Linked DNA regions of Arabidopsis thaliana. The protein of the gene in region 1 interacts with the protein of each later gene in a pairwise test. Each region holds a gene or a part of one and is shown in the gene's direction. Other genes may lie near its edges. The genes, in order: AT5G47530, CRK37, AT3G56370 and HAE.

Region 1 (6,545 bases):
GAAGAGGGAAGACAAGAATAAGTAGAGTTGGCATAGGAAACTTGAGAAACAGTAAAGATTGAGATCTAAGAGAAACAAGAGAATCTTTAAGATCACCTGTCTACTTGAGGTAGCTTCCTAGAAGGTTCAGTGGAACAAAGTTGACTAAATATCAAAACTTTCAGCTCTCAACCACCCTAAGAAAATCTATCACAAGCAAAGTATTCAGCACATAAACGCATTCTGGATCCAAAGTAAGACAGCAATACAAGTTACCTCTTCTGAAAGCTTGATCTGGCTCTTTAACACCTCCTAGAGAAACTTGTTATACAAGCTCATGAAGCCTATATACAACAAGTAAAGCTAACTTTAGTTATAATCTCACCCTAAGAATCTAAGTTAAAGTCGGTAGATACTGACTATTCACAAATCATGAAAGCCACCAATAGGAAAGCAGAGAAATATTCTCTCTATCATAAGGAGAAACAGAATTGAGACAGAAAAGACAAGCGCGGGCCCAATTCAACCAACAATACTCATTCACTTGATCACACAAAGTGCAATCTTAAACACTGATAGAAAATTCTCAGTCTTGTCCTTAGGGCTCACATTAAAGATGAATCGAGTTAATGATTGCTGCAGGTTTATAATATCTGCCTGAATATGAAAATCTTCATATACGGCATTAGAAAATGAAAGTAGGCCACACATTTCTTTCTGAAAAAGATGATGAGACATCAAAACTTATAAAACACCAATTCAAAAAAATAATCGAAACTTCACCTAAGAAACTAAACCCAAGTAAGAACCCATTTTCGCAAAAGAGAAGGAGGAGATATTGTAAGAACTCTTTAAAGCAAAAACAGAGCATTGTAATAGAAACAATCAAACCAAGTAAAAACAGAATTTTACATGAGAGATCATCACATTACATTCCCGTCAGATGTAAGATCACACACATACATACACACACAAGACAGAGAAAACGTTGATGATCACGAATTATGAAGACCCATTAGACAAAACAGGACAAAAAACTCGCATTTACAGGGATAATCATAAGGGGAAAATTGAGAAAAACCTTCTCTTTATTCTCGGGAAGTGCAGAGGAAAACAAAATTACCTTGTGGAAGCAACACCGATTAAAGAAATTGGGGAACATGGGAATGGAATGGATCCAAAGAGAAGAAAACGAAACAAGAGATCCCAAAAATGGAATCGGAAAACGAAAGGATTCAACGCCTTCTTCTGGGAAATCAAAGACACGCAGTAACTCTGGCAGAGAGAGAGAGAAAGAAAGAGACCGGAGTTTTTCCATTTCGGTTCGGATTGGTAATAATGGGCTCAGCAAAAATAAAACATCTTGGGCCCTTATGGACCCTCTTACCCTATTTTACCATAGGCTCTACTTTTTTTTACCACCTTTGTTTTAGTTTCACTTAAAATTTTAGTTAAGGAAAAAAAAGTTACCGATTATGTACACTCTACTGTTATTTATTAGACACAACAAAACTTTCAAATATGATGGATTTTCCATCCTATTTTATTTATAAAAGAAAATATTTATATTTCTAACATCAACAAACTCTACCCAAATCAGATTATCCTTCTGAAACTATGCAATTTGTATTGTTTTTCAGGAAACTAGTGATTTTTTGAATAATTGTAATACTTTTCATTCATCAAAAAAACATATTATATCTTTCCTTTTTTTCCATCAAAAACATATTATATCTAAATATCTCATTTTGGGTTGTTTTTTGATAATTAACACTTAAGCCCATATAAAAGAGTCTAGTTCAAACTGAGCCCAGCTACACCAAAGAATCTAGTGGGGGACATGTGGCAGGTAGTAATTTGAGCGTTGACCAAGAAAGGACATTATTATACATCCACCTGGTTAGAGCATGCTTATAGGTGATATTCTCAAAGTATCATTAAAAAAATTTTAGTATTATTTATAATGTTTGTTTAATAGATAAATATTTTTTTTCTTACTTTTAATAAATGCTACCAATCAGGAGATGTCACGTAGATGATACTGATATCAAGAAAATCACTGGAATGATACTAATCAAACTCATTCTAATTGTTTGGTTAATAAAAAAATAATTTTTACACTGATGATATTCTAAAAATATCACTCATGTACATGGTCTTAACCGTTGAAATGTTGGTCGCGGCCTATATATAGAAGAACATAACTCTAAAAATAGCTAAACCCAACCACTTCCCTTGGATTGGAATCTCTCATAAACAGTTTGTTGGTCTGGTCCGCTCCAGTCCATACTCATAAGGTGGTAGATGTTTACTTAGGGTACATCATACATGCACAACGTTAGTAGTTGCAGGCATAGACGTGTTTGCCCTTTATTACGCGAAAACCACTACTCCCTTCGCTAGTCTACTTTCGTCAATTGAACCACTAAACCCAATGAAACCTAATATTTTAGTGTGCTCAATAATTTATCATCATCCCAATTCCCAAGCGTACCAAGATTATAATCTAACTTAACGCGCAATGTCATGACAAAACCTATATACAATGAAAAAGATTTTTCATGACAAACAAAGAAAAAATAAACACGAGAAATGAGTTCTCGTAATAAAGTTGGTGTGAACTGGTTTTTGAACGTGAAGATGACCCCTTCATATTTTTATTTCTTGGTTTTTGCTTGAGAGGGTTAAAGACTCTTAAGGAAGAAATACATTACACGTCAAACCTTTTTGGGAAAACAATGAACGCTTCATTTATAATGTTTCTATTTTTTACTCTTAGGTAAAACATTGCAATTGATAGATGAACAAGAACAAAAGCAGAGGATTAAAAGAAAGATTAAACTATGAAAAAAGGACACGTGTGAAGAGAATTAGAGATTCTGTATTAAGACAGATTAACTAACAAACCAAACCCTACTTGTTCCACTTTCTATTCATACTTAATCTCATTCTCCTCTCTTCCCCTTCATACTTAAATCTTATCATTCATCCATCTTTTAATCATTACTCGAGATTCTGTTTCCATGGCCATATCCTCAAATCTTCTCCTTTGTCTCTCTCTTTTCATTTTCATCATCACCAAATCCGCCTTGGCTCAGAAATGTTCCAACTACAAATTCTCCACCAACCGTCTCTTTGAGTCTTGCAACGACCTACCTGTTCTTGATTCCTTCCTCCACTACACTTACGATTCTTCTTCAGGCAATCTCCAAATCGCGTATCGCCACACAAAGCTCACCCCCGGGAAATGGGTGGCATGGGCCGTGAATCCCACATCTACTGGCATGGTCGGAGCTCAAGCCATTGTGGCTTATCCACAATCAGACGGCACCGTTAGGGCTTATACGTCACCCATCAGTAGCTACCAAACGAGTCTCCTAGAAGCTGAGCTGAGTTTCAACGTCTCTCAGTTGTCTGCCACTTACCAAAACAACGAGATGGTCATCTACGCAATTCTGAATCTTCCACTTGCGAATGGTGGAATCATTAACACTGTGTGGCAAGATGGGTCACTGTCAGGGAACAATCCTCTGCCTCATCCAACTTCTGGCAACAATGTTCGTTCTGTTTCTACTCTTAACCTTGTCTCTGGTGCATCTGGATCCACCTCTACCGGAGCAGGAGGAGCTTCCAAGCTACGCAAACGCAACGTGAGTCCATGGTTTTATCAATTTCTTCATTTCATGTTTTTTAGGAATCTCACATATGAAATGAGATTTATCAATCCCATCATTGTTAGTTGGTTTTATGAAACTTATCACTCCTAATCATTATTGCAGATACATGGAATATTGAACGGTGTGAGCTGGGGTATAATGATGCCAATAGGAGCAATCATTGCTCGCTACTTGAAAGTCTCAAAATCAGCAGATCCTGCTTGGTTCTACCTTCATGTTTTCTGCCAGTCTTCTGCTTACATCATTGGTGTTGCCGGTTGGGCGACCGGTCTCAAACTGGGCAACGAATCAGCCGGGATTCAGTTTACCTTTCACCGTGCTGTTGGGATCGCTCTCTTCTGCCTCGCAACAATTCAGGTAGGTTTTAGTTAACAGTACAGAGAGTATTACACTTGTCATGAATATGTTGCAATTACTAAGTTGCTTGTTTCACACGTTAGGTGTTTGCAATGTTTTTGAGACCCAAACCAGAGCACAAGTACAGAGTCTACTGGAACATTTATCACCACACTGTAGGCTATTCAGTGATCATTCTTGCGGTGGTAAACGTTTTTAAAGGACTAGACATCCTGAGCCCTGAGAAGCAGTGGAGAAACGCTTACACCGCCATAATCGTAGTACTAGGTATAGTCGCGGTTGTGCTCGAAGGGTTTACTTGGTATGTAGTCATAAAGAGAGGGAAAGCAGAGGCATCTGCGAAAACAAGTCAACGAGTAGGCAACGATGGTCGGTCTCTATACGTGTAGACTCTGTAAAGATTAGAGTAAAATGTTCTGGTTTATTTGGTCATTATGGGCTTGTGGTTGTTAATTTTTGTTTGTTTTCGAGATTAAGTTAATACATTTGATGTTTAATAGTTGTTGAAGTTGAAAGACTCTTGTGCTCTTTTACAACATTCATGATGTGAGCTTTTGACAAACCATTTTATTTCATCGACAGTGAAGTAGTGTACATATGAATACATATATCGAATAGATATCTCGTATGTGTATGTGTGTGTGTGTGTGTGTGTGTGTGTGTGTGTGTGGTGAGAAAGTGAGAGGAAGATTGGTTACCTAATGTAAAAAAACAACAAGATGCTTCAAAAATGTCTTTTCGAGTGTTTTAAAAGGGAAGGAAGGATGAATTGCATTAGTTGGTTCAAGCAAGATCTCGAGGTTCAAGGGCTGCGATTTCTCTCAAAACCTGACTTTTGTCTGCTTCAAACCTCTCATCCTCTGTCAACCAAATGAACCAAACAATGCTTTAATAAGGTTAAGGAGCAGAAGGATCGGATACAAGCGTTTCACTTAACAAGATTAGTTTCATACCTTTGTCTGGTTTCAAATCAGCCAACAATCTCAGAAGCTTGCTTCTGTTGGCCACCAGAATGTTGACTATATCCGCAGGCTTGTTTTGGTTCGCTGCAAACAGCTGCACAACAGTGACGATAATCTCAGTACAATCACGTTGGACTGACAAGTGACAATCATCATTATGTTACATCTCGTTAATGTAGGTACCTTAAAGACATGGAATGCTTCTATTTGGATACTCTTGCTTGACTCCTGTAATTCAAGCGATTGAGTTTATTTCCCAAACTATTATAATCAAGAACAAAAAAACGGAGAGTAAAGCATCGTACTCTTAGAAGATTCATGAGAATCCTCAAGTTATCCCTCGAGCTCACATATTTCGTCATCACAGCTGAATTTGATCGATCCAATAATATATCACCCAACAACTGTTTAACATTTACACCATACAGTACATAAGATTGATCAGCCAGTACCATCATTTCAATGTTTTAGATTCTTGTATAAGTTAGCCTACCTTAATAGCTTGCCGTCTGGTTATATAATTACTTGATTCAAGAAGCTTTGAGTTGTAGTCTGCGAAAAACTGCAAACCAAAAAGTTTGAGATTATTATACGACTTGAACGCAGGACCTGCAGAGGATAAATTACAATGTTCTGTCTTCAAGCATATATCATAGTGCATTGTTGCTACATAACTTACCCAGTCTTCATTCTTGGTGAGAAACTCGGCAACAGTAGACTTATGCCTTGTCAGCAGTTCCTGTGAAAATAAATGACAGGTTTGGAGTTATGATTGCATGTTTACTAGTCCCAGACAGGGAAAGATCCAAGCTAAAAATGCGAGTTTTGTTTTGGAACCTTAAAAGTAGCAGCAGCATCGGCAGCAATGTCGAAATTTGGAAGCTGTATGTAATCAAAGAATTTCTTCACATGGTCAGACTCCAAAACATATCTGAATCCAAAGAAATTAAGTTAGTAAACACATTTTCCGTTATTCTCTGAATCCATAATTACTCCATAGGTCGTAAAATGAAGAAAATGAAACGATTGGCTCACTTAGCCACAATCTGATGACGGATACACTCCCTAAACATAGCACCATAGTGTAAAGCCATGTCTGTGTTCTCGAAGCTGACACAAAACATGGAAAGCTATAAAAATGATAAAATGTGGTATCTCTTAATTTGGAAAAACTACCAACTAATAACTTCAATGATAGTAACACACAAGACTCACCCTTCAATCAAAACATCCATGAGATCAATGTTGGCTTCTAAATAATCAGAAGCAATCAACCGTGAATTAACCTGTTGCCTCTGTAGATTTGCAACAACTTGTGTAGCATCTTTCCTCGTCTAATTAAAAAAAAAGGACAGATTTTTCGCAATTCAATCATCCAATGTATCTCAAAAATGATGTCTTTCCTATACGGAGAAATGTTACCTCCAAGTTAAGTTTAGGGAGACAAGTAATCAAGAGACGTAGAGTATCCTCTTTAAAGAATTCTTGAGTCAACTGTGCACAAGCTTCTGCCACAGGCTCTGCTTCGCTGTTCCCGTAGAGAATCGACTTCATGTCACGGATATTCCGG
Region 2 (7,325 bases), on another chromosome or scaffold:
AATTGCGCTTACGTAAACGATACGTCGAACACTTCGTTGTCATTATGCCTTAAGTGGCATGTAAATGTCTTCGATAGTAACACTGGAAAGAGCGACGTCGTTTCCGCTTCCAAATAGTTTGGAAACTACAAGGGAATGAATATGAAACGAGTCAAGGCCTAGTACGGGTTTCATATACTGTCAAGGATCAAAGGACAAGTGAAAGTCAAATTAGGTGACCAAAAATGGTTTCAACTTTCATGACTTATTAAAAATTAAGAAATTTTCACAAAAGTGGATGAAATTTTTTTTGCTCTCATCGTTTGGATAAATGAGAGTTGGTTTTCACGTTTTCCCTTTTGAAACATTTTGTGACTGAAATACCCTTAATAGAATCAACCAATCGCACAGTTGCAGTTGGTTTTGGTTTAGTTTTTTTTGCAGTTTGGTTTTGCGAAAAAAAAAAAAAAAACTGAAACGAAGAAAACGAGAAAGAGACGGAGAGATCCGAGAGAAAAGTAGAAATAATTTCGAAATTCATTCATCCACTCCTTCATTTTTCGACATTACCGTTCAAATTGTTGGGTAATTGATTTGAGGCATCCTATTGAACTTTAAAATTGAGAAACAAATTTCATGTTTTCAGAGATGAACAAAATACAAAAAAAACCAAAAATTCAAACACTTTAGCTTTTAAAACTAAAAATACTCTAGGTTTACAAGATTTATTTGTAAAAAGTATTCAAAATGAAAAAAAAAATGAGATTTTGAAAAAACTGGTAAAGACGGCCGCAAAATTAGGTTTGCAAAAAAGGATACAGAGGTTGAAGATGACTGAAAAATTACAGTTATAACCTTCATCGAATTTCTTTTGTGTACGTATATTCAATTTACAATGTACGTACACGAACTTATTTAGTGGAACGTATATGGTACGATTTCTAATAACTTAAGCTATTTTATTACATATTCTTATATCTCAATAATCTCCATACATACATAATAATTAAATAAAAATATATGGTGAAATAATATTTGTTCCTCATATTGAAAAATTATGTACGTATATGTGCAATAATGTACGTACATTTTTGTTGGTAAATTAATGTATGTACATGTGTAGTAATATACGTACATCTTTGTTTGTGAATTAAATTATTAAGAAAAATTTATTGATTCAATAATAAACCGATATTGACAATGACTGAGATATATTCTAAGACTTTCATACGATGTGATTTTGAAACATTCTGAATTCCTGACGACTTGAGCAGTCAAATGTCATGGACAGGTATCATCAACGCATACTATCTCCAATCTTGTAGGACATGACCTAGGTTGCTTATAGCAAAAACATTGTTTGATTGCGAGATAAGACATTGTTTGTTGTATGACTTTTCTGTTCTTAAAAATACTCCTCAATCTATAGTGTACGTACATTGGTACAAACCATGTTGACACGTACTTCTTGGAGTCACAGCTGGTGTACGGTCACCCGAGTGAGAAATGTTATCTTTGTTAGGTACACGCTGACTTGTGTACGTACACGCTGCCAACAGCCGACTGAATTCCCCTGGACGTTGAACAGTCAGTTGAGTGAAAATGAAGTCCTCCTCAACATTCCCTATTCCATATTCTTCTACAATTACATCGTTCCACTTGTTGTAATCATAATCTTCGCCACTACTTTCACTACCATCGATAGTAGGATCGAGGGTACTTCTCCCATAGATCCATAGTCACCCTGATAATCATCATACCCATCACCATTTTCGTTGTCCCCCTCCTATTCATCTTCATCTGTTTTACCGTCTTCAACGTCGTCTTGCTCATCTAGCGCCTCATTATTTTCATCAACATTTGAAACACTATCACACACATGGTCACTTTCAGCATCGTCACCATGAGTCCTAGAGACATTATTTCCGAGTGTCTTGACGGTTGTAATGAAAGAGACAAACAAGTTAAGAAAAAGATACCCACCACGAATCAAAAAGAACGTATCTAACCCCACTTGACTGTCAATGTAGACAGGAGGGCGTTTAGTATCTATCATCACTGACATCTCTCCCGGCATCCAGTAACTAATTATGGGATTGATCTCTGCGGACTTCAAACTGAAAGCCTCGCTTAGTGTACGTCATATTTTCCTTAACACGTACACATCGACCAAACATGTCTTCCTCTGGTTCAAATTTCCATTCTTCTTCTTTGCATCTCCACTCACCGACCATAGTAAATACGGGAATATCCATTACCCAACTGCATCATAAATTCAGGAGAAACCCATTAAATGCAACTGAAAACATGATTATATCTACAAAAACAAATAGAATTTCGATATACACACTTATAAACATAAATATCTACTCATTTAGCATTTTCAACCAACAAAATAGGAAATAAAAGATTTCTGGGTTTTTCTATAAAAAACAAAGTTGATTTCGAATACAATGAAGATCATAGTGTGTTATAACAAAAAACTTCTTAAAACCTTCATTAGTTACACGATAATGCTTGTCTTGGCTCCAAACTTCGTAAATAAACAAGATCAACCCTTCTTCAGCATCACATTCCTTCGTAAAATAAATTTTGTTTCTGGGTTCATCTTTAATTCAACAATTATTATCTCAAATATTAATCCAAAGTAATAATGATTTTGCATTAATTGTGACAAGAGTCACGTCTAAACTTTTTGGGCATTAAATATTGATGGCAAATTGTTTTTCAATGTTAGTAAGCCCCCCTTTTAACTGTACAACCGCACAAATCAATGTTTCTCCAAAATATCTTTAACCAAACCGGAATAGTGTACCTAACTAAATCGTCTAACTTAACCGTACATTCAAACAATATCTAGTTACGCTGGTAAGGGTAAAATGGTCAAATTTCAGCTGAAAAGATAAAACATGAAAACTACCTTTGACTTTGCCAATCTCTGAAAATAAAACATAGTCAAAGGGTGTGACCTGCAAATTACCTTACAAATTCTCCTTCTCCTTTTTTTTTTTTTAATATCTGAAAATTCAAGTCCAAAGACTCTATTTTTTCCCGAGGCGGGATCTACAGTAGGTTAAACTCATCTCTTTTAGATAAGAGATCTCTTTCAACATGCCTCGAACCCTACACCTCCACTTGAGAGATTTACCATTGGACTAACCGCACGTTAGAAAAAATTCAAATTCTCGTTTAACAATGCGTTGAAGACAAAAAGTCTATACGGGATAAAAAACTATTTAAAATGAAAAAATAAATCATTAAAAAAAAGGATATCTTAGATCAACATCACAATTTTTTTATTTAGATTTGATTATCAATTTTCTTTTTTAAAATCACCTCATCAGAATTTATCAAGAAACAATTTTAGCTAGGTCACCTCTAATAAGTGAAATCATTAAACAACGATATAAACAATTATGAAAGTGTTACTCCAAAATTTTATTGTAACAAGTACTAGCTATTACAATTAAATTTTAAGAATATGCTACCACACCTAGTCAAGTCAACTAGTACCCATTTCTCACGTCACATATTAACATGCAATGACGGGTTATAAATTAATCTATCCTATAATGAGAGGAAAAAAAAACCATTTTAACAACCTTATCAATTTGTGTAAATGGGAAAGAGTTGTGTTGTGACTAGTTCCTTCTCGCTTCTCCTTCTCTTCCTTCAAACCCTAAAATATGTTCATGCCGGTTTCATTTGCTACGGCGACTTTTTCAATGTTAACTACGGCGTCAGTCGAACGTATCTCTTCTCTTCTCTTCCTTCTAACGTCGTTTCTAACGGCGGTTTCTACAACGCATCGTTTGGCAGAGATTCCAAAAACAACAGAGTCCACGTTGTTGCCTTATGCAGACGAGGCTACGAGAAGCAAGCTTGTAAGACATGTCTCGAACATGTGATTGAAGACACAAAATCCAAGTGTCCTCGCCAAAAAGAGTCTTTCTCGTGGGTCACTGATGAATTCGACGACGTTTCTTGCTCTCTACGTTACACCAACCACTCAACTCTTGGCAAACTCGAGCTCTTACCAAATACTATTAACCCTAACCCTAACAGTATAGATTCCAAATTCAACAACATGGCCATGTTCAGCCAAGAATGGATTGCAATGGTTAACCGGACACTCGAGGCTGCTTCCACCGCTGAGAATTCCTCAGTCCTTAAGTACTACAGCGCAACAAGAACAGAGTTCACACAAATTTCAGATGTTTACGCGTTGATGCAGTGCGTGCCTGATCTATCGCCAGGCAACTGCAAGAGATGTCTTAGAGAGTGTGTGAATGACTTTCAGAAGCAGTTTTGGGGAAGACAAGGAGGTGGGGTTAGTCGGCCTAGCTGTTATTTCCGGTGGGATCTTTATCCGTACTACAGAGCTTTTGACAATGTTGTAAGAGTTCCTGCTCCTCCTCCTCAAGCTTCTTCTACTATTATCGATTACGGGAGAGACGAGAAAAGTTTTCAAGGAAGCAACATAGCAATTATTGTGGTCCCTTCAGTCATCAATCTCATCATATTTGTGGTTCTAATATTCTCTTGGAAGAGAAAGCAGTCACACACCATAATCAATGGTAAAGTCTTTTAAAATAAGCAACATATATATTCCTTATCTTACTAAGAGTTTGGTTTTAAACTTGACATGTTTTATTTGATGACGTGCAGATGTTTTTGATTCAAATAATGGTCAATCTATGTTACGTTTTGATCTTCGAATGATTGTAACTGCAACCAATAACTTCTCTCTTGAAAATAAGCTTGGCCAAGGTGGATTTGGATCTGTCTACAAGGTAAAGAAACTAGTAAGAAGAGTCCTAACAAAATCTTAAGATGGGTCAGTGATCTTTAATTATAGCATGAGAATTCGTTTTCAGGGAATATTACCAAGCGGGCAAGAGATAGCGGTAAAGAGATTAAGAAAAGGTTCAGGACAAGGAGGTATGGAGTTCAAGAACGAGGTCTTACTCTTGACAAGACTCCAACATAGGAATCTGGTTAAGCTTCTTGGGTTTTGTAATGAAAAAGATGAAGAGATTCTTGTCTACGAGTTTGTCCCCAATTCAAGCCTTGACCACTTCATATTCGGTGAGCCTTCGCGAGACGAGACTTTGCATCTTTGCATGTTACACTACTTTTAGAAAACAAGAAAAAAAAACTGTTTCTTTGAGATGTGCAGATGAAGAAAAACGCCGAGTTCTGACATGGGATGTGAGGTATACAATCATAGAAGGAGTTGCAAGAGGGCTTCTTTATCTCCATGAAGATTCTCAGTTGAGGATTATACACAGAGATTTGAAGGCAAGCAATATCCTTTTAGACGCGGAGATGAACCCTAAGGTTGCAGATTTTGGGATGGCAAGGCTGTTCGATATGGACGAGACTCGAGGACAGACAAGCAGAGTAGTTGGAACATAGTAAGTAAGCTCTGTTTTTATTTTTAAAGATTCTTTGATCAGCATCACTATTAATATGATTTGGTTAATGCAGTGGATATATGGCTCCAGAATACGCGACATACGGACAATTCTCGACAAAATCTGATGTTTATAGCTTTGGTGTCATGCTTCTAGAGATGATAAGTGGTAAAAGCAACAAAAAGTTGGAAAAAGAAGAAGAGGAAGAAGAAGAAGAGCTTCCAGCTTTTGTAAGCTTATCACTTATGTCGATCATCTTTACTCTTCTTCTTCATCTTCTTATCGAAATTTTAAAAATTATTTGCAGGTGTGGAAGAGGTGGATTGAAGGAAGATTTGCAGAGATCATTGATCCTTTGGCTGCTCCGAGTAACAATATCTCAATAAACGAAGTAATGAAGCTCATTCACATAGGTTTGTTGTGTGTTCAAGAGGATATTTCCAAAAGACCTAGCATTAATTCAATCCTCTTTTGGCTTGAGAGACACGCTACTATCACAATGCCTGTGCCCACGCCTGTTGCTTATCTTACGCGACCATCGTTATCACTTGGTCATTAATGAACCGTCAATCATGTATGTTTTATACCTATTTGTCTCTCTCTGTACAATGAATGACAAATGTTGAGAAAAGAGATGCCGTGTAATGTAAGCAAACTTATGTTTGATTTGTGCTAAACTTATTTATATTAAATGAATATTTGATATAGCCAGCGTTTTGGATAATGTTGGAAATTGGACTGAAACGGAGGAACGCATAGATGAAATTAAAGTCCAATTTCTATGAAAGTTCACACGAGCAGAAACAAAAACTTTGATCTAATGTAAGAGGAAATGCGTGCGGTAGGGGTTGCGTAGTCATAAAGAAAGGACATTGAACAAAGGCACATTTTTAAACTTATATGTAAGAGCATCATGGGCTCTTAACCATATTTAGAATTTAAATATTGCACAATCAAAATACCCCTCATGAGTTTTTATTTTTGACAACTCCAATGGTAGAAGTTCTAATGAGGCTCTTAAAATTTAAATTTTTGAAATTTATATGTGTTTGTGTAACACCCCGATTTCAGGAATATGGTGGTGCATACGGTGAAATTTAAAATAATTGATTTGACCATTTATATTACCAAAATGCATTTATCTTTTCGATCAAAGATGTTGAAAATGCTCAAGTAAATAACATTTGACATTATATTTTACTTTTTTCATGTTTACAATAAAGCTTCGTTTTGTATGATCTGAAATATAAAATTTTCTCTATATTTATAACCAATTTACTATAGACTAAATATTTTTAAATTACAAATACCGAATGACTAATCCATAAAACTGTGATGGACACCATATATAAAGCTATATTGGACGATTGTGGGTGTTGTTCATTAAATTGATGATTTCCACTATGTCAAACCTTTCCTCCAAATTTAAGAATGACAAACTATCCAAAATTATTTTCAAAGATTTTTGAAAGACTCACTACGAGTTTCTCAGAAATTAACAATTGTTACAATTTTCACTTCTTTTTTCTTCCTGAATTGTCACATTCTTTATACAGTATATGAGTATGACTCGTAGACCAAGCAAAGGAAGACTTTTTTGGTCATGCATGCGACCAAAAACAAGTACTTACATAACCATATTGAAAGGACAATATTTTCAATACTTCTAGAGAAGAAAAAAACCCTTAGTTCATACGAAGTGATTAAGAAATGTTTACCCTTTCTCTACGGCTATTTGAATTTGAATGGCCATCTTTGAAGTCAACCATTACTCAAATTTTTTCATGTGTACTCAACCAAAACCCATTCTCTCTCATGTCACCTAATTATACACATATATAAACATTTATTACCTCATTAACAAAAAAAAAAACAATGAACAAAACCCTAAACTCCATTGCTTAACAATGATAATGAAGAACTCTGCTG
Region 3 (8,458 bases), on another chromosome or scaffold:
TTACAGAATCTTAATTCACCATTGAGGAAAACAAAACAAGAGAACAGAACAATTAAGCAATGTGTCTGAGGAATGATAAGTTTACTTGTTGATGCGGGTAGGAATGTTCTCTGAAGACAATATCACAACAGGTACTTCCTTTAGATTCGATGATTCCTGCTGCCAATAATAAAAACACCATAGAAACAGAGACAAAGAAAGAGATTTTGTTAGTCTATATAACTCTATATTGATCTTGTCAAGAGGACTTTTCATTTGTGAGAAATTTCTTACACACCTTCACTTTCTTAAGCAGCTCAAAACCTGTCATTCCTGGCATACAATAATCAGTGATGATGAGATTCACCTTCATTACCTGAAAAAACAGTCTCAAAAGGTCATATTGGATGTTATACAAATGTCTCCTCTCCAAACCAATCAGAATGTTTCATGGGGAAGATTGAGCTTACATTAGTCAATGAATCAGTCTGTTGTGGATCTCCCAAGCCTAAATATTCTAAAGCTCTAAGCCCGTTTTCTGCAGTTGTCACTGTACAGAAAGTAAAATCAATTTCTTCATTTCAGAGGCAATGTTACCATATAGAAGAAATCTTGGTTCTTGAAATTTAGAAGGAAAAAAATTTGAATGATAGTTTACCTTTGCAAGAAGAGATCTTGAGGATTCTCTCAACAAGTTTACGGTCAATTAGATTATCATCTACTGCTAAAACATGAAGCTCCTCCTCCATTGACGATAAACAAGAATCACTTCCACTTCCACAGCCCTTATTCATCTCCTACGATTACAGAGAGATATCGTTTTTGTTCCTTGTGAGTCAAGCAACAAAGAACAAAAATCTGCACAAGAAGGAGGAGAATAAATGAGTCAGACACTAATACATTATACTGCTTTTAATTCTCAAACCTAAAGAAAACAGAGACAAACTTACAGAAGAAGGAGAGAAAAACAGAGAAATGATACATTAAAAAGATTTGAGAATGGATGTGTATATATATATATATATATATATATAATTATGTTGTTAATTTATATATGGATATATAGGATAACAATATATCAAGAAATGATTTGATATGATTTTATCTTCCTTATAATTTAAGATACAACAAGTTGTGGTTTTGTTCTTGGTATTTGATTCTCTGGAAACTGGTAAGAAACTTGGTGTTTTATGTCAGTGACAGTGCTTTGTGATCTTGTACGATGATAACGAAAATCCAAATATTAATTTTTAATTTCCCATTTGTTTGGCTTTTCTAATCGTGCGTATAATGAAGATGCAAATTTATAATCATATTTAATTTTCAAAATGGATCACAAATCTGTATCAGAATCTCAGTTACGAAGTCCCCATGATTCTCTAAAATTTAAGATATATTATCATTTTTAGTATTTGAATTTTTAAACTATGGGCTTGTTCGATGTGTATATTATTATTTGTCAATTTTAATTATCGTGAAAACCTCAAATTTTAATACGAAATCTTTGACCGATATGATAGCTGCATAGTTGCATGGGCCAGCCTTGTAACGCGTTATAAGTAGCTGCGAGTCGCATTTCTTTAGTTCAATTTGTTTTCTTTCCTGAAATATAATTCGGACTGTAGAACTTTGATAAGCCTTATTATTATCTGAGCCCATTTATCGTTTCTCATTAATGGGCCTCTAATGGAAGAGTTGGACCCATCTTATCCGTAGTTATTTACCATGGAATAAAAAATGAAACTGTAAGTAATCAATAATTAAATAAATATAAGAAAATTTGGAATTTTACATCACCGGAAAGTAAATATTTTACCTTTTAATGGCTGGTCCTAAATGCCAATCCTGATATGACAGAGGAAGATTCGAGTAAAAATTGAATGTGGAAATAAATACTAACTGTAGAAAACAAACAAAGGGTAAATTCTTCATATAGATGGAAAGCGAAGAACAGTAAATGTGAATTCGCTACGGTCCGGCTCACACTGCCCAAAAAATTCCTCGAAAGCTCTTAAAAACAGTAGTAAATTTGACCCTATATTTTTAGAATACATTAAAAAGTAAAAAAGGCCTCTTTGTTAAATTGCAAATAGAAACAAATAGTAAATTCCAAAATTTCCATGAAGGGTTGTTTTCCTTCCATGGGGAAAAGAGTTATTTTTCATTGTTTATTTCATAATAAATAACTTTTACTGTCAAAAGGAATATAAAATTTTAAAACATAGGTATGGGAGAGAGACCGAAGTCTGATAAAATGTCTTGACTCGGACCAAATCTCAAACGAGAAAGACAACAATTAAAAAAATTCCAAGAGCATGCTTAACGGATTATAATATTTTTTTCAACATCATTTGTTCTATTATCTGTTTTTTTTAATGTTTTATTTTATGGCAATAAGTGTTTGACACTTAGTTATTCAACCGCATTTCAATCTGTAGGAAAAGTTTACATAATGTATGATTCCTTGCACAAACAGAAGATCCAAAATTTACATCTGTAGCTCCTCCAAGTCAACCAAAATCCTTAGGTTTGTGATCCAATTTCAAAACCCCATAATTTTTCAAGAAAATTTGTAAACCCATAATTAATAAGTTTGATGCATTGACTACTGACCAGGACATTGTACATAAATGAACAATAACATTATGGTTGCAATTATTAATGATCTCTAAGCACCACAAAATATTTTTTCCAGGACACCATCATCATTCCTCACCAACTTACTTTAATGTTCTTACTTCAAAAAACAAAATAGAGAATCAAAATAAAAAAATGAAAAACCAAAACTATGGTGACCACTTTAACCACTGTCTCTTTCTGCATAATTTTTTACCCAAAATACCAATTCTCTGCATGAGAATAACAGAACCAACCACATTCCACATTATTTCCATTTTATGTGAAAGATTATTTTCTAATTAGTTGAATCATACCAAGAGGCCACAGAGCAGCATGTAAACCCATTAAAGAAAGTTTCTATTATTTGGGAAGGATAATTTAGTCATATTCAAATTTATAGTTTCTTTCTTTATGAGTTGGCCAATCATTTATTCATTTTCCCACTTACTATACCAACACAAAATAAAAATAAAAGCCACGTGTCAGCCAAGTCGGATTCGTCAAACCCAACAAAATAAATACACGTGTCAATTAAAGAGTTTTAATGAGTCCACCCACCTTCCTCGGGCCCCACACTCTCTTCTTTCCAGCCCGTTGATAAAGGCAGCTTTTAATTACTCTCTCTGCTCTCTTTTTTTTTCTTTATTGGCTTTTTTCTCTTCTTCCCAAATTCACTCTTCTTTTAAAGCTACAAAACCTAACAAAGTTGAAGAAGAAGAAGAAGCTCGTGCTCTCTCACTTTCTTTTCCTACGGTGTTTTTTTTCCCCCTGAGCTGCAACATTCTTCGTCGGAAATCTTCCCGGAGAAAATTCTTACTAGGTGAGAATTCCTCATTTCCAGATCGTAACTGTCCAATGACTCCTTTACTTAAAAAAACTCAAGTTATTTTGCTCAACATTTACTTCAGCCATTCACTTGAAGGTTGAATATTTCTTCAATTTCTATGAATTTCAAGTAAACTGTAGCTACTTCTATTCATATAACTAGCCTTTGTTTTACCGGATTTTTCTTCATTGTTTTTTGCTTTGTTTTGCTTCCTCCGTTGGCCGAAATGTAGCCGTTGAGATAGATTTTTGTTCTTTTCTTCTACTAAATCTAACGCCTAAGAATACGAACAAACAAAGTTTTTGTTTTGAGATGTACTGTTTTTTTTTTTCTCTTGTGTTCACCAATTTTCTTCTTTCTAATTTCAGCTCTACATAACTGAAAATGGAGGTCTTCCGCAACTAAAATCTGTTCAACGGAGAAGAGGGTTGTGGAAAGATGTACAAAGCACTGATTTTTACAGTCTTGTTGGTGTCGGCAGTAGCTCCGGTGAGATCTCTAGACCCGCCTTTAAACGACGACGTTTTAGGGCTCATTGTCTTCAAAGCCGATTTACGAGATCCAGAGCAAAAGCTAGCTTCTTGGAACGAAGATGACTACACTCCTTGTAGTTGGAACGGAGTCAAATGCCATCCGAGGACGAATCGAGTCACTGAGTTAAATCTAGATGGCTTCTCTCTGTCTGGTCGAATTGGTCGTGGCCTACTTCAGCTTCAGTTTCTTCATAAGCTCTCTCTGTCCAACAACAATCTCACGGGAATCATTAACCCTAATATGCTGCTGAGCCTTGTTAACCTTAAGGTTGTTGACTTGAGTAGCAATGGCTTGTCTGGTTCGCTTCCTGATGAGTTTTTCAGGCAATGTGGGTCATTAAGAGTTTTATCTCTGGCGAAGAACAAACTAACGGGGAAGATTCCGGTTAGTATAAGCTCGTGCTCGTCTCTTGCTGCTTTAAACTTGTCTTCCAATGGTTTTTCTGGTTCTATGCCTTTGGGGATTTGGTCTTTGAACACTCTAAGATCACTTGATTTGTCGAGGAATGAGTTAGAGGGAGAGTTTCCAGAGAAGATAGATAGATTGAACAACTTGCGTGCGCTTGATTTGAGTAGAAACCGGTTATCTGGTCCTATTCCTAGCGAAATTGGGAGCTGTATGCTGCTGAAGACTATTGATCTTAGTGAAAACTCTCTATCAGGAAGCTTACCAAATACATTTCAGCAGCTCAGTTTGTGTTATTCTCTGAACTTGGGAAAGAATGCGTTAGAAGGTGAAGTTCCAAAGTGGATAGGAGAAATGAGGAGTCTTGAGACTTTGGATCTTTCCATGAATAAGTTTTCAGGGCAGGTTCCAGACTCCATAGGCAACCTTCTAGCACTGAAAGTTCTCAACTTTTCTGGGAATGGGCTTATTGGTAGCTTGCCGGTCTCAACAGCCAACTGTATCAACCTCTTGGCCTTAGATTTAAGTGGGAATTCACTAACTGGAAAGCTTCCCATGTGGCTATTTCAAGATGGTTCTCGTGATGTGTCTGCATTAAAGAATGATAACTCTACTGGAGGTATCAAGAAGATCCAGGTTTTGGATCTCTCCCACAATGCATTCTCTGGCGAGATTGGAGCTGGTCTAGGAGATCTTAGAGACCTGGAGGGATTGCATCTGTCCAGAAACTCTCTTACCGGCCCCATCCCCAGTACCATTGGGGAACTAAAGCACTTGAGCGTCCTTGATGTGAGTCACAATCAGCTCAATGGAATGATTCCTCGAGAAACAGGTGGAGCTGTTTCTTTGGAGGAGTTGAGACTTGAAAATAACTTGTTGGAGGGAAATATTCCATCTTCCATCAAGAATTGCAGTTCCCTTCGGTCTTTGTAAGTCTCTTTTGCTTTAGGTTGCATTCTGTTAAGATTTTCCCATTGAAGATTATGTCTTAACTGTGTTCTGTTTCATGCTTCTTTCTACAGGATCCTGTCACATAACAAGCTGCTAGGCTCAATTCCACCAGAGCTCGCTAAACTTACAAGACTCGAAGAAGTCGACTTATCATTTAATGAACTGGCCGGAACACTTCCTAAACAGTTGGCTAATCTCGGCTATCTTCACACATTCAACATATCTCATAACCATCTCTTTGGGGAACTACCTGCAGGTGGAATCTTCAACGGTTTATCCCCAAGTTCAGTATCAGGAAACCCGGGAATTTGCGGTGCTGTTGTCAATAAGTCTTGTCCTGCCATCTCCCCTAAACCGATTGTGTTGAATCCTAATGCAACTTTCGATCCTTACAATGGTGAAATAGTGCCTCCAGGTGCTGGTCACAAAAGGATACTGCTTAGTATATCTTCTTTGATAGCCATTAGTGCTGCTGCAGCCATTGTGGTTGGTGTAATAGCCATCACGGTACTTAATCTGAGAGTGCGCGCATCAACGGTTTCAAGATCAGCAGTACCGCTCACGTTCTCAGGCGGAGATGACTTCAGTCGATCTCCCACTACTGATAGCAACTCAGGGAAGCTGGTGATGTTCTCTGGTGAACCTGATTTCAGCACTGGAACACATGCTCTGCTTAACAAAGACTGTGAGCTTGGTCGAGGTGGATTTGGAGCGGTGTACAGAACAGTTATCAGAGATGGGTATCCTGTAGCTATCAAGAAGCTCACTGTCTCGAGTCTTGTCAAGTCTCAGGACGAATTCGAAAGAGAGGTGAAGAAACTTGGAAAACTCAGGCATTCGAATCTGGTTAAACTCGAAGGATATTACTGGACAACTTCTCTCCAGCTTCTGATCTATGAGTTTCTCTCTGGTGGGAGTTTATACAAACAGTTGCACGAAGCACCAGGAGGTAATAGTTCGCTTTCTTGGAATGATCGGTTCAACATTATCCTTGGTACAGCGAAATGCTTAGCTTACTTGCACCAATCAAACATCATCCACTACAACATCAAATCGAGCAACGTGTTGCTAGACAGCTCTGGTGAGCCTAAAGTAGGAGACTACGGATTAGCGAGGCTGTTACCTATGCTAGATAGGTACGTGCTGAGTAGCAAGATACAGAGTGCGTTGGGATACATGGCTCCAGAGTTTGCTTGTAGAACGGTGAAAATAACAGAGAAATGTGATGTTTATGGATTTGGAGTCTTGGTCCTTGAAGTGGTTACAGGTAAAAAGCCTGTGGAGTATATGGAAGATGATGTTGTGGTTTTGTGTGATATGGTGAGAGAAGCTCTTGAAGATGGAAGAGCAGATGAATGTATTGACCCAAGGCTGCAAGGGAAGTTTCCGGTAGAAGAAGCGGTTGCAGTGATAAAGCTAGGGCTTATTTGCACTTCTCAGGTTCCATCAAGTAGACCACATATGGGAGAAGCTGTTAACATATTGAGGATGATCAGATGCCCTTCAGGGAGCTCAGATGAGTTGGGTTCAAGTTGAAAAGAAGGTTAAAGACTAACATGTTTTTTCACCAAGTTCCGGCGAAGAGGAATCCGGTTTGTTCATTTGGGGGTTTTAAGAGAAATCCTTGTTTGTGTTTGTTTTTTGATAATCTCTTATGTGTTATCTTTTGTGTCTGTTAGTTTCAATTTCAATGTTTGTAGCTTCTTCTATTTATTGTTCTTGTAACATTTTTAGGGCTGTATCGGATTTGTCTTCACCGGGTTCCATAATATGGGACTCTTTCGATGAAATCTTAAGTATTATTATGAAAGAAAGCCTGTAGTCTTCATTTCAGGTTCTGAACCATCTTTTAGCAGTCGTAGAAGATAAGAGCTTTCTTGTGAGACAAATAAAAACTTAGGGTTGAGAAAAACAAGAATCAAGATAAAACTTAGTGACTTCGTGTGATGATGCTCTCTGAACAAAGAGAGTATAAAATAACTTAAGAAGCTTCATTTGTTGTAACCATGTGCATGGGACTCTGTGAAAACTCAACAATTTAATGGGTCTGATCTTTTATTGGATTATGGGAATCGAAGAAACGTCTCAAGAATCTGTAATTAAAATACATTATTCATTAGTATCTTTTTGAGGGATAATATAAGTACATTTTTAACAGAAGAACCCTAGTTTCAATGGCCGATAAAAGAGGAATGGAGCATGCCTTGTCTGAAACAGACCACGTTTTTCTCTCTTGGAGTTGGGAAAGACGAAATTAGTACTACAATCTACGTTGTCTAGCCTCGGTAATTTGCAACATTTTGACATTTTAACTCATAAGTTAAAAATCCATTTCAATATTGTACATGATAGCATTAAAGTGAGATGGCATCTAACGTTTTGACTTTCTAAGCCAAATATGCTAACACTTTTTTTTTCCATTTGAAATGGAACCTGAAAAAATAAGTTACTTAAGGGACATTTTCCATTTATAATTTTTTTCTTTTTCCATATACAGCTTATTATTATATTACCGATCAATTCTTCGGTTTATAACTAGGTTGGAGAAAAAAATAATTCATCTTTCTATACACATTTTTTCATGTCATTAATATATACAGCTTATTAATATATGAGTTAATTCCTCTAGGTTAGCTTATACAGTATATATGTCATTTTCATTTATTGGATTATTTCCAAAAAAATCCCAAAAAGGAACCTTGTATAAACCAAAAAAATAAAAAAATAAGATTGTGAAATGTTAAAAAAAAAATATATATAATGGTGATCATAATTAAGCCATAACTTAAGAGTCTTAGATGGTGATGCCAATAATTTAGAGGTGGTTGATTAAGTGTAATCATTCACTTCCGTAAGTCCGATCGTGAAATGTCTTGTGCTGCTAAATGTGTATCGCTTGTCAAAGTCATAAACAATGAAACTCCTTGGCCCCTTTAGATTAGCTTATTGTATGTCATTTCAATTTATTGGATTCTTTCAGAGAATTCATAAAAAAGAAGAAAATAAACATTGGATCATTCATAGCCCATAGGAACAAAGGCCTATACCTTCCATATATTTACGGGCCTTAAAATCTAAATCCAATATCCAAATCCATATAAATGATCCAATCAAACAATCCATAATTTTCCATCACGACCATGT
Region 4 (8,336 bases), on another chromosome or scaffold:
GAACATATATGAAACAAAGTTTCAAGCTTTTAGATTCTGCAACATTCCCCAGCTTCCATATGGTTAATTGTTGATTTGAGCTGACCCTAGTTGTTGTCTTAACAATATCTAATATCTGTCTTCTGGTAAATGCAGTAAGGCAATGCAAGTGGAAGAGATTCTAACGATTGGAGTGAAACCCGGGTGGAAGAAAGGCACAAAGATCACATTCCCAGAGAAAGGCAATGAGCATCCAGGTGTGATTCCAGCGGATCTAGTCTTCATCATTGACGAGAAACCCCATCCAGTGTTTACCCGTGAGGGCAACGACCTGATTGTCACACAGAAAGTCTCACTAGCTGATGCCTTAACAGGCTACACCGCAAACATAGCGACCCTTGATGGCCGTACACTTACAATCCCGATCACAAATGTGATCCATCCAGAGTATGAAGAGGTGGTTCCTAAAGAGGGAATGCCACTCCAGAAAGATCAGACAAAGAAAGGGAACTTAAGGATCAAGTTCAATATCAAGTTTCCAGCGAGATTAACTGCGGAACAGAAAGCTGGGTTTAAGAAGCTTATTGGGTGATGATTAAAGCATCTCTGTCTTGTGATGTGTGGAGATTGGGATAAATTTGGTAATATACAATTTATAGGGAATTATCTCCCTCTTCATTAAATTTCGTGTTGTTAAACAAGTCTTCTTTTTAAAGAATAGTTTTTTCAAGATTTGGTACATGTCCTCCATAAACAAAAATTGAAGATCACAAATCTTTTTGTTATACAAAAGTTTTTCAGTTCTTGTCTAGAGTATGAAATTATTCTTTGGTAAGGGGAGATCCGATGCCATGACGGCGTGTAGGGAACGCTAGGAAGAAGGCACCACAAATGACGCCGATGACAAAAGGTAAACTGGTAAGAATCTCCTTGGTTTCCTCGGAAGGAACGGGGAATAAACAACGGGTTACGTTCTGATCAAACATGGAGACTGCGAAGAAGACGAGCATTGACATGATTGCGTGAATAAAATCAAGAATCTTGAGCTTATACTTTTCCTTCTCCTCCTCCGTTAAAGTAATCGATCCATCCATCACTAATAGCCCACTCCACGTTGCCAACCCGTACCTAACCTGCAACATTAAGTTTGGTGCTTATGTCAACAAGTTGTTATGAATGGTACAAAACAGCGGAAAATGTGACAGAGATATGTATATATACCTTGCCGTTTGGGTCTCTAATGGAGTCGGTAAAGGAGAAGAGGAAGCAGGAGATGGCGCATAAGGAGACGAGGAAGCAGGTGAGCCAGCGACTGGTGATGGTGGGACACTGACCTTGATGGGTTAGGACCGGACACATTATTTGAAAACTCATTACAGAACCGGTTGGGAGCAGATTTGATAGATGAGCTGTTCCTTTGAATGTTTTCCTCACAACTCTCTCTACTTTCGACTTTGGTTTTCTTGGTGCCGACGGCAACGATGCTATCAATGACTGCTTCGTCTCCTCCATCTTCAATTGTTTTTTCGTTAATCACTCTGCAAATTCGAATGATTATATATGTTTCTTTTTTTTGTCTCTATGGTTAATTCTGATTTGAAAGAATTGCACAAGATTTTATGGGTTTCGATTTCTTTCTTTTTTGGTGTTTGCTTCCGTTGAGTTGTTTGTTCAGGTTTCAAGGTTGATATTCTGTTCTTCCATTTTTATGTTTCTGTTGCATGTCAGGATTAGCAATAAAAAACGTAAAAACCAAATAACATTTGAGTAACGAAACAAGAAATAGGAGTTTTGTAACAGAAAGGATTAAACTAAAACTCTGTCACCGTTTCCTAAGAAGATATATCATTATCAAAGTTACTTTTATTATATTGATATAGTAAAACTTTGCTAAACTAGTAAAAACTAGTTTTTCGAAAATAATCTAGATTAGAATTCTCCAAAGACGTGGCTTAATTCTAATCTGTCTAACGTATGGACCATAAAGAATTGTATTAAATTGGTCTTTGAACGAATTTATTCTTCGGCTAAAAGAGGTTATCGGTTGTGAAGTGGACCTGCAATTTCATTTGTTTGTTCATAAGAATATATGAACGAGAACTTAGGTGACCTCTATTTCATATAACTTTTACATACTGCATACTGGTAAATCATATGAAATATGGACTTTTAAAACGAAACAAAAATCACGTATAACCCTATTAGTGTATATAGAGTCTCTGTTGTGTTGAGACTCTGTTGTGTTGAGACTCTATATACACTAATAAACCCTTTTTACTTCTTTGTTCCATACGAATTAAGCTTCAGAATAACAGAATTTAAGAGAATATCGTTATTAACAGCAAAAGTCCAAAACAATTAAAAGGCAGAGTGCTTGTGGAGACGTAAAGGGAATGCAAACTAAGAAGAAGAAAAGTCATTATCGTTAGAGGACCAAAGACTTAAACATTATTGGATTAAGGTGACATCATAGTGCATAGTGCGTTGTACCATCGCGCAAACTCGTGATATTCGATCACGGATTAAAGCCATGATCTATCATTTTCTCTTCTTTCCCCCCTTAAATCTCGTTGTTTTTTCAAATCATAGTGACTGTTGCTTTTCCCATCGAAATGAAAGTAATCTAACAAAATCTACTGTTAGATCATGTTTCTCCGACCAACCAAATTTGACCTTGTCTACATATACACGTGGCTTCACAAATGCGCATCAAGCAATTGGAACTTGGAAGCATCACTATAGTTCTAAACTTCCAATTAAAAGATTGTTAGTCAATCTAGGGTTGGGATCATAGGTGGCTAAGTTTTCGGTTTAACAAATTTTCGAGATCATCGATATAAAATCATAGGATATGTCCTCATCACAATACAGTATACACACACACATAAGTGATTAAGTTATGCATTCATAACATTAATCCAGAAGCTTTATATGCAGACTCGAAAAGTCAACATAAATCCAGCATTACATGGCCCATTTGTCTCCATCATTTTGACCATCATAGCATTTCAGTTGACTTGGAGAGTGACCATTGGTCCATTCTGTTTCTTTTCAAATGAACAATTAAATGTTTGTTCATTTATCAAAAAAATATTTTTTATAAAATTACCTTATGTAATTATTCATAATCCGATTTTTTTTTAATATCACTTTACAAATTTGTTTATGATTTATATGTACAGTAGTACTTTGCTCCGTAATCGATTTCACATGGATGTATACTATTGCCTCCTAATTCTTCCAATATCGGAAAACATGTCTCACCCATGTCTTGTCACAGTGCTCGTTTCCCTTTTTGCTTCTACAATTCCTTATAATTACCAATCCATAATTTCGTTTTATTCACAAATCCAAAGCATGAAAAAAGAAGAATAACGATTCCTTTTCCAAAAAAATGCTTTATTGTCTTATTCTCCTCCTATGTCTCTCTTCTACGTATCTACCAAGTCTATCTCTAAACCAAGATGCCACCATTCTCCGGCAAGCCAAACTGGGCTTATCCGACCCGGCCCAGTCCCTATCTTCATGGTCCGACAACAACGACGTCACCCCATGCAAGTGGCTAGGCGTGAGCTGCGACGCCACGTCAAACGTTGTCTCCGTCGATCTCTCAAGCTTCATGCTCGTCGGACCTTTCCCCTCCATCCTCTGCCACCTTCCTTCTCTCCATTCCCTCTCTCTATATAATAACTCCATCAATGGCTCTCTCTCCGCCGACGACTTCGATACGTGTCACAATCTCATCAGTCTTGATTTATCGGAGAATCTATTGGTTGGATCCATCCCAAAGTCACTTCCTTTCAATCTCCCAAACCTCAAGTTCCTTGAAATCTCCGGAAACAACTTATCAGACACGATCCCGTCGAGCTTCGGAGAGTTTCGAAAGCTTGAGTCTTTAAACCTCGCCGGTAACTTCCTCTCCGGTACAATTCCCGCCTCTCTCGGTAACGTCACGACTCTTAAAGAACTCAAACTCGCTTACAATTTGTTTTCTCCGAGTCAAATCCCGAGTCAACTCGGAAACCTCACGGAGCTCCAAGTTCTCTGGCTCGCCGGCTGCAACCTCGTCGGTCCGATACCTCCGTCTCTGTCCCGGTTAACTAGTTTGGTTAACTTGGATTTGACATTTAACCAACTCACAGGATCTATCCCAAGTTGGATCACGCAGCTAAAAACCGTCGAGCAAATCGAACTATTCAACAACTCGTTCTCAGGCGAGTTACCAGAATCCATGGGTAACATGACGACGCTAAAAAGATTCGACGCGTCGATGAATAAGCTGACAGGAAAAATACCCGACAACTTGAATCTGTTAAACCTCGAGTCACTCAATCTCTTCGAGAACATGCTCGAAGGTCCTTTACCGGAGAGCATAACTCGCTCCAAAACCTTGTCAGAACTCAAGCTTTTCAACAACAGACTCACCGGAGTATTACCGAGTCAACTCGGCGCTAACTCACCGTTACAGTACGTGGACTTATCGTATAACCGATTTTCCGGCGAAATACCGGCGAATGTCTGCGGTGAAGGGAAGCTAGAGTATCTAATTCTTATAGACAATTCGTTTTCAGGAGAAATCTCTAATAATCTCGGAAAGTGTAAGAGCTTGACCCGGGTCCGATTGAGTAACAACAAGCTTTCGGGTCAAATCCCACATGGATTCTGGGGATTGCCTCGCTTGTCACTTCTCGAACTCTCTGACAATTCGTTCACCGGAAGTATTCCTAAGACGATCATCGGCGCGAAGAATCTATCGAACCTACGAATCTCAAAGAATCGATTTTCAGGTTCAATCCCCAACGAAATCGGATCGCTTAACGGAATAATCGAGATTTCCGGAGCGGAGAATGATTTCTCCGGTGAGATTCCTGAAAGCTTGGTGAAATTGAAGCAATTGAGCAGGCTTGATCTCAGTAAGAATCAACTCTCCGGTGAGATTCCTAGAGAACTTCGTGGTTGGAAGAATCTAAACGAGCTTAATTTGGCTAATAATCATCTCTCCGGTGAAATCCCTAAAGAAGTCGGAATCTTACCTGTTCTCAATTACCTTGACCTTTCAAGCAATCAATTCTCCGGTGAGATTCCGTTGGAGTTACAGAATCTGAAGCTAAACGTTTTAAACCTTTCGTATAATCACCTCTCCGGTAAAATCCCTCCTCTCTACGCTAATAAAATCTACGCACATGACTTCATCGGAAATCCCGGTTTATGTGTTGATCTCGACGGCCTTTGTCGGAAGATCACACGGTCTAAAAACATCGGCTATGTATGGATTCTTTTAACGATTTTCTTACTCGCCGGTTTGGTTTTCGTTGTCGGGATCGTTATGTTCATTGCCAAGTGTAGAAAACTCAGAGCTTTGAAGAGTTCTACTTTAGCAGCGTCGAAATGGAGATCATTCCACAAGCTTCATTTCAGTGAGCACGAGATAGCTGATTGTCTCGATGAAAAGAACGTAATCGGGTTTGGATCTTCTGGTAAAGTCTATAAAGTTGAGCTTAGAGGTGGAGAAGTTGTAGCTGTGAAGAAACTTAACAAAAGTGTTAAAGGAGGAGATGATGAATACAGTAGTGATTCGTTGAATAGAGATGTTTTTGCAGCGGAGGTTGAAACGTTGGGGACGATTAGGCACAAGAGTATTGTGCGTTTGTGGTGTTGTTGCAGCTCTGGTGATTGTAAGTTGTTGGTGTATGAGTACATGCCTAATGGGAGCTTAGCTGATGTGTTGCATGGTGACCGCAAAGGCGGTGTTGTGTTGGGTTGGCCAGAGCGGTTGAGGATTGCTTTGGACGCTGCCGAGGGTTTATCATACTTGCACCATGATTGTGTTCCTCCCATTGTGCACCGCGATGTGAAGTCGAGTAACATACTGCTAGATAGCGATTATGGGGCTAAAGTTGCTGACTTTGGGATCGCTAAAGTCGGTCAGATGAGTGGTTCCAAAACTCCAGAAGCTATGTCCGGGATCGCCGGTTCTTGTGGTTACATTGCACCAGGTATAAACCAAAACATATTTCAGCTGCATTTTGTAACTTTTGATCTTATATTAATAGTTTTCAATTTTGCAGAATACGTATACACACTTCGGGTGAATGAAAAGAGCGATATCTACAGCTTTGGTGTGGTGCTTTTGGAACTGGTTACAGGGAAGCAACCAACTGATTCAGAACTTGGAGATAAAGATATGGCAAAATGGGTGTGCACTGCACTTGACAAATGCGGTTTAGAACCCGTGATCGATCCCAAACTCGATCTCAAGTTCAAAGAAGAAATTAGTAAAGTCATTCACATTGGTCTACTCTGTACGAGTCCTCTCCCTCTAAACAGACCTTCCATGAGAAAAGTTGTGATCATGCTTCAAGAAGTCTCTGGTGCTGTTCCTTGTAGCAGTCCAAACACATCTAAACGATCTAAAACCGGTGGGAAACTCTCGCCTTACTACACGGAAGACTTGAACAGCGTTTGAACATTCCAATATGGGCTGAGAATCGGTTTGGGCCGGGGATAGCAATTTGATGTTATGATGCTAGGTGAACTGTAAGAAAGATATCAAAAACAGAAAAGTGGAGCTTTCTGATTAGGTAATTGCTCTTAAAGCTAATATAAAGTTATAATTTGGATATTAATTTTAATTTAACGCAATATTTGCAATATTTGGTGGTTGGTCCACCCAATAGCCAACCTTATTTAAACTCGAGCTCGTTACCAGTTCAATTTTGGAAAACGGATCGATTCTGACGAGTGATGATCAATATTTTTTTTTCTAATTTTTTTTTCATATTCTTATAAAGTAAAACTTAGTGTGGTAATACTAATGCCATTATAAAAAGTAAATTCTAAATAGCCAAGCATAGACAGCATATGTCAGTATAATGTGGTTAGATAGATTTCTTGAATGACACCTTGCCGCGGTTTCGATCCACCAATGAAAACAACAAGCTAACCACAAAATTTTCCAACAGACACAGAAGTGTAACATTTGTTCATAATTTTTTGTTTAGTTTGATAATAAATTAAGAATAGGTTGTATAACATGTGTTTAGAGTTAACAGGGGAGAGCAGAAACAAAAATCAGAAAACAAAGAGAAAAAATAAATAAAGGTTGAGGAGGTTCCTTGTTAATGTTATGCATGAGAAGTCTACGTGAAGAAATAGAATAATGACTAGCTTTTTAACTTTCCATTTTTTTTCTTTTTTTTTCTTTTTCTTTTTATCTATCTAAAAACCAATATTATAATGTTTTCTAACGTATATCACTAATATCAGTATGTGATTTCAGTAAAATTTATGTACATACAGTAATATACTGATGATGGAGATGTTAAATATGTGTAAATTATAAGTATAAGTTTATGTATAATATCTTTACATACACTCTAGGGTGACATTGGACCTTAACTTCTCTTTCTTATTTTTTGTTCTACCATATCACGTCTGAGCTCTCACAGACCAGCAACAACACCTTGCCCCAAACTTACTCCATCTCATATTCATTTTCAAATCCTATACATTTAATCAGCAAATTACCAAGATTAATTGATTAGTTATAGGTTTTATTATCTTTACTCAACATTCAACATTATACATTGGATATAGAGATCATCCCACACAAACTACGACAAGACAAGTTATTTTTGTTCCATGCATGTTATTGTCAAAAAAGGAAAGATTAGCTCACATATGTATTCCCTCATAAGATTTTGTCTTTCATGTTATTTTGTTTGATCAGTCTTTGTCCATCTCTCTCTCACACACCATACATACATGCCATGAGCCCAACCAAACTTAAAACCCAAGCAATCTTTTTTTTTCTTTCCTTCTTGGTTATTCATTTATTTATTCTTCAAAATATCACATATATGTATTTTTAAGAATAAACTAAAGTCTATTCAATTTATATGTTTTTTTCTTCAAAAAACTGTATATGTACATGCACACTTGTAAAAAAAGCGAAGAAAAATAGTTCCAATAATTTATCAAACTAGTACATGTTACAATGTAAAACTAATTAAGGTTTGAAAATTTCATAGTTCTTTAGACTTTACTTTCAAGTTGTAGGTGGGCATCTCCCTCTCGTTGTTACTTAACATGTATGTTTCTACATACTTGTTAAACAAACCTAAGTCTTTAAATAATTATTTCTCACTATACAGTATATAGAACATTTGTACACATTATAAAAATGAGGTTTAAATAATATTTCTTCTAGGATTATCTCATCTCTCTCTTTCATGGATAGTACAGAGTTAAAATCAAGTGCAAAAAGGGGCAATTATCTCAGCTTAAAAAAGTGATGAACAAGAATTTAATTCCTTCCTCTTTCTCAAGATAACCTCAAAGAGATCTTCTTATGAAAC

What was found.
Region 2: the proteins of AT5G47530 (region 1) and CRK37 interact in a protein complementation assay, tested with the Arabidopsis thaliana proteins (one large-scale study listed by BioGRID).
Region 3: the proteins of AT5G47530 (region 1) and AT3G56370 interact in a protein complementation assay, tested with the Arabidopsis thaliana proteins (one large-scale study listed by BioGRID).
Region 4: the proteins of AT5G47530 (region 1) and HAE interact in a protein complementation assay, tested with the Arabidopsis thaliana proteins (one large-scale study listed by BioGRID).

Annotation. Positions count from the first base shown.
Region 1 is NC_003076.8:19,278,469-19,285,013, forward strand, and holds AT5G47530 (Auxin-responsive family protein), read left to right. Parts: upstream 1-2,905; 5' UTR 2,906-3,002; coding exon 3,003-3,629; intron 3,630-3,758; coding exon 3,759-4,013; intron 4,014-4,096; coding exon 4,097-4,402; 3' UTR 4,403-4,593; downstream 4,594-6,545. Other genes in the region: AT5G47540 (Mo25 family protein), read right to left, coding at 4,797-4,873, 4,967-5,069, 5,159-5,203, 5,281-5,379, 5,469-5,537, 5,655-5,714, 5,813-5,906, 6,011-6,085 and 2 more. UniProt on the Arabidopsis thaliana protein: May act as a catecholamine-responsive trans-membrane electron transporter.
Region 2 is NC_003075.7:2,234,813-2,242,137, forward strand, and holds CRK37 (cysteine-rich RLK (RECEPTOR-like protein kinase) 37), read left to right. Parts: upstream 1-3,560; 5' UTR 3,561-3,598; coding exon 3,599-4,556; intron 4,557-4,647; coding exon 4,648-4,772; intron 4,773-4,856; coding exon 4,857-5,067; intron 5,068-5,158; coding exon 5,159-5,396; coding exon of another isoform or gene 5,397-5,397; exon of another isoform or gene 5,398-5,469; coding exon 5,470-5,626; intron 5,627-5,703; coding exon 5,704-5,955; 3' UTR 5,956-6,109; downstream 6,110-7,325. Other genes in the region: CRK38 (cysteine-rich RLK (RECEPTOR-like protein kinase) 38), read left to right, coding at 7,304-7,325.
Region 3 is NC_003074.8:20,897,795-20,906,252, reverse strand, and holds AT3G56370 (Leucine-rich repeat protein kinase family protein), read left to right. Parts: upstream 1-3,172; 5' UTR 3,173-3,418; intron 3,419-3,792; 5' UTR 3,793-3,862; coding exon 3,863-5,292; intron 5,293-5,385; coding exon 5,386-6,850; 3' UTR 6,851-7,154; downstream 7,155-8,458. Other genes in the region: RR17 (response regulator 17), read right to left, coding at 86-159, 278-355, 450-529, 638-773.
Region 4 is NC_003075.7:14,074,521-14,082,856, forward strand, and holds HAE (Leucine-rich receptor-like protein kinase family protein), read left to right. Parts: upstream 1-3,155; 5' UTR 3,156-3,373; coding exon 3,374-5,975; intron 5,976-6,047; coding exon 6,048-6,445; 3' UTR 6,446-6,937; downstream 6,938-8,336. Other genes in the region: AT4G28480 (DNAJ heat shock family protein), read left to right, coding at 136-571; DMP7 (transmembrane protein, putative (DUF679 domain membrane protein 7)), read right to left, coding at 801-1,112, 1,201-1,491. UniProt on the Arabidopsis thaliana protein: Receptor with a dual specificity kinase activity acting on both serine/threonine- and tyrosine-containing substrates that controls floral organ abscission. May interact with the 'INFLORESCENCE DEFICIENT IN ABSCISSION' (IDA) ligands family.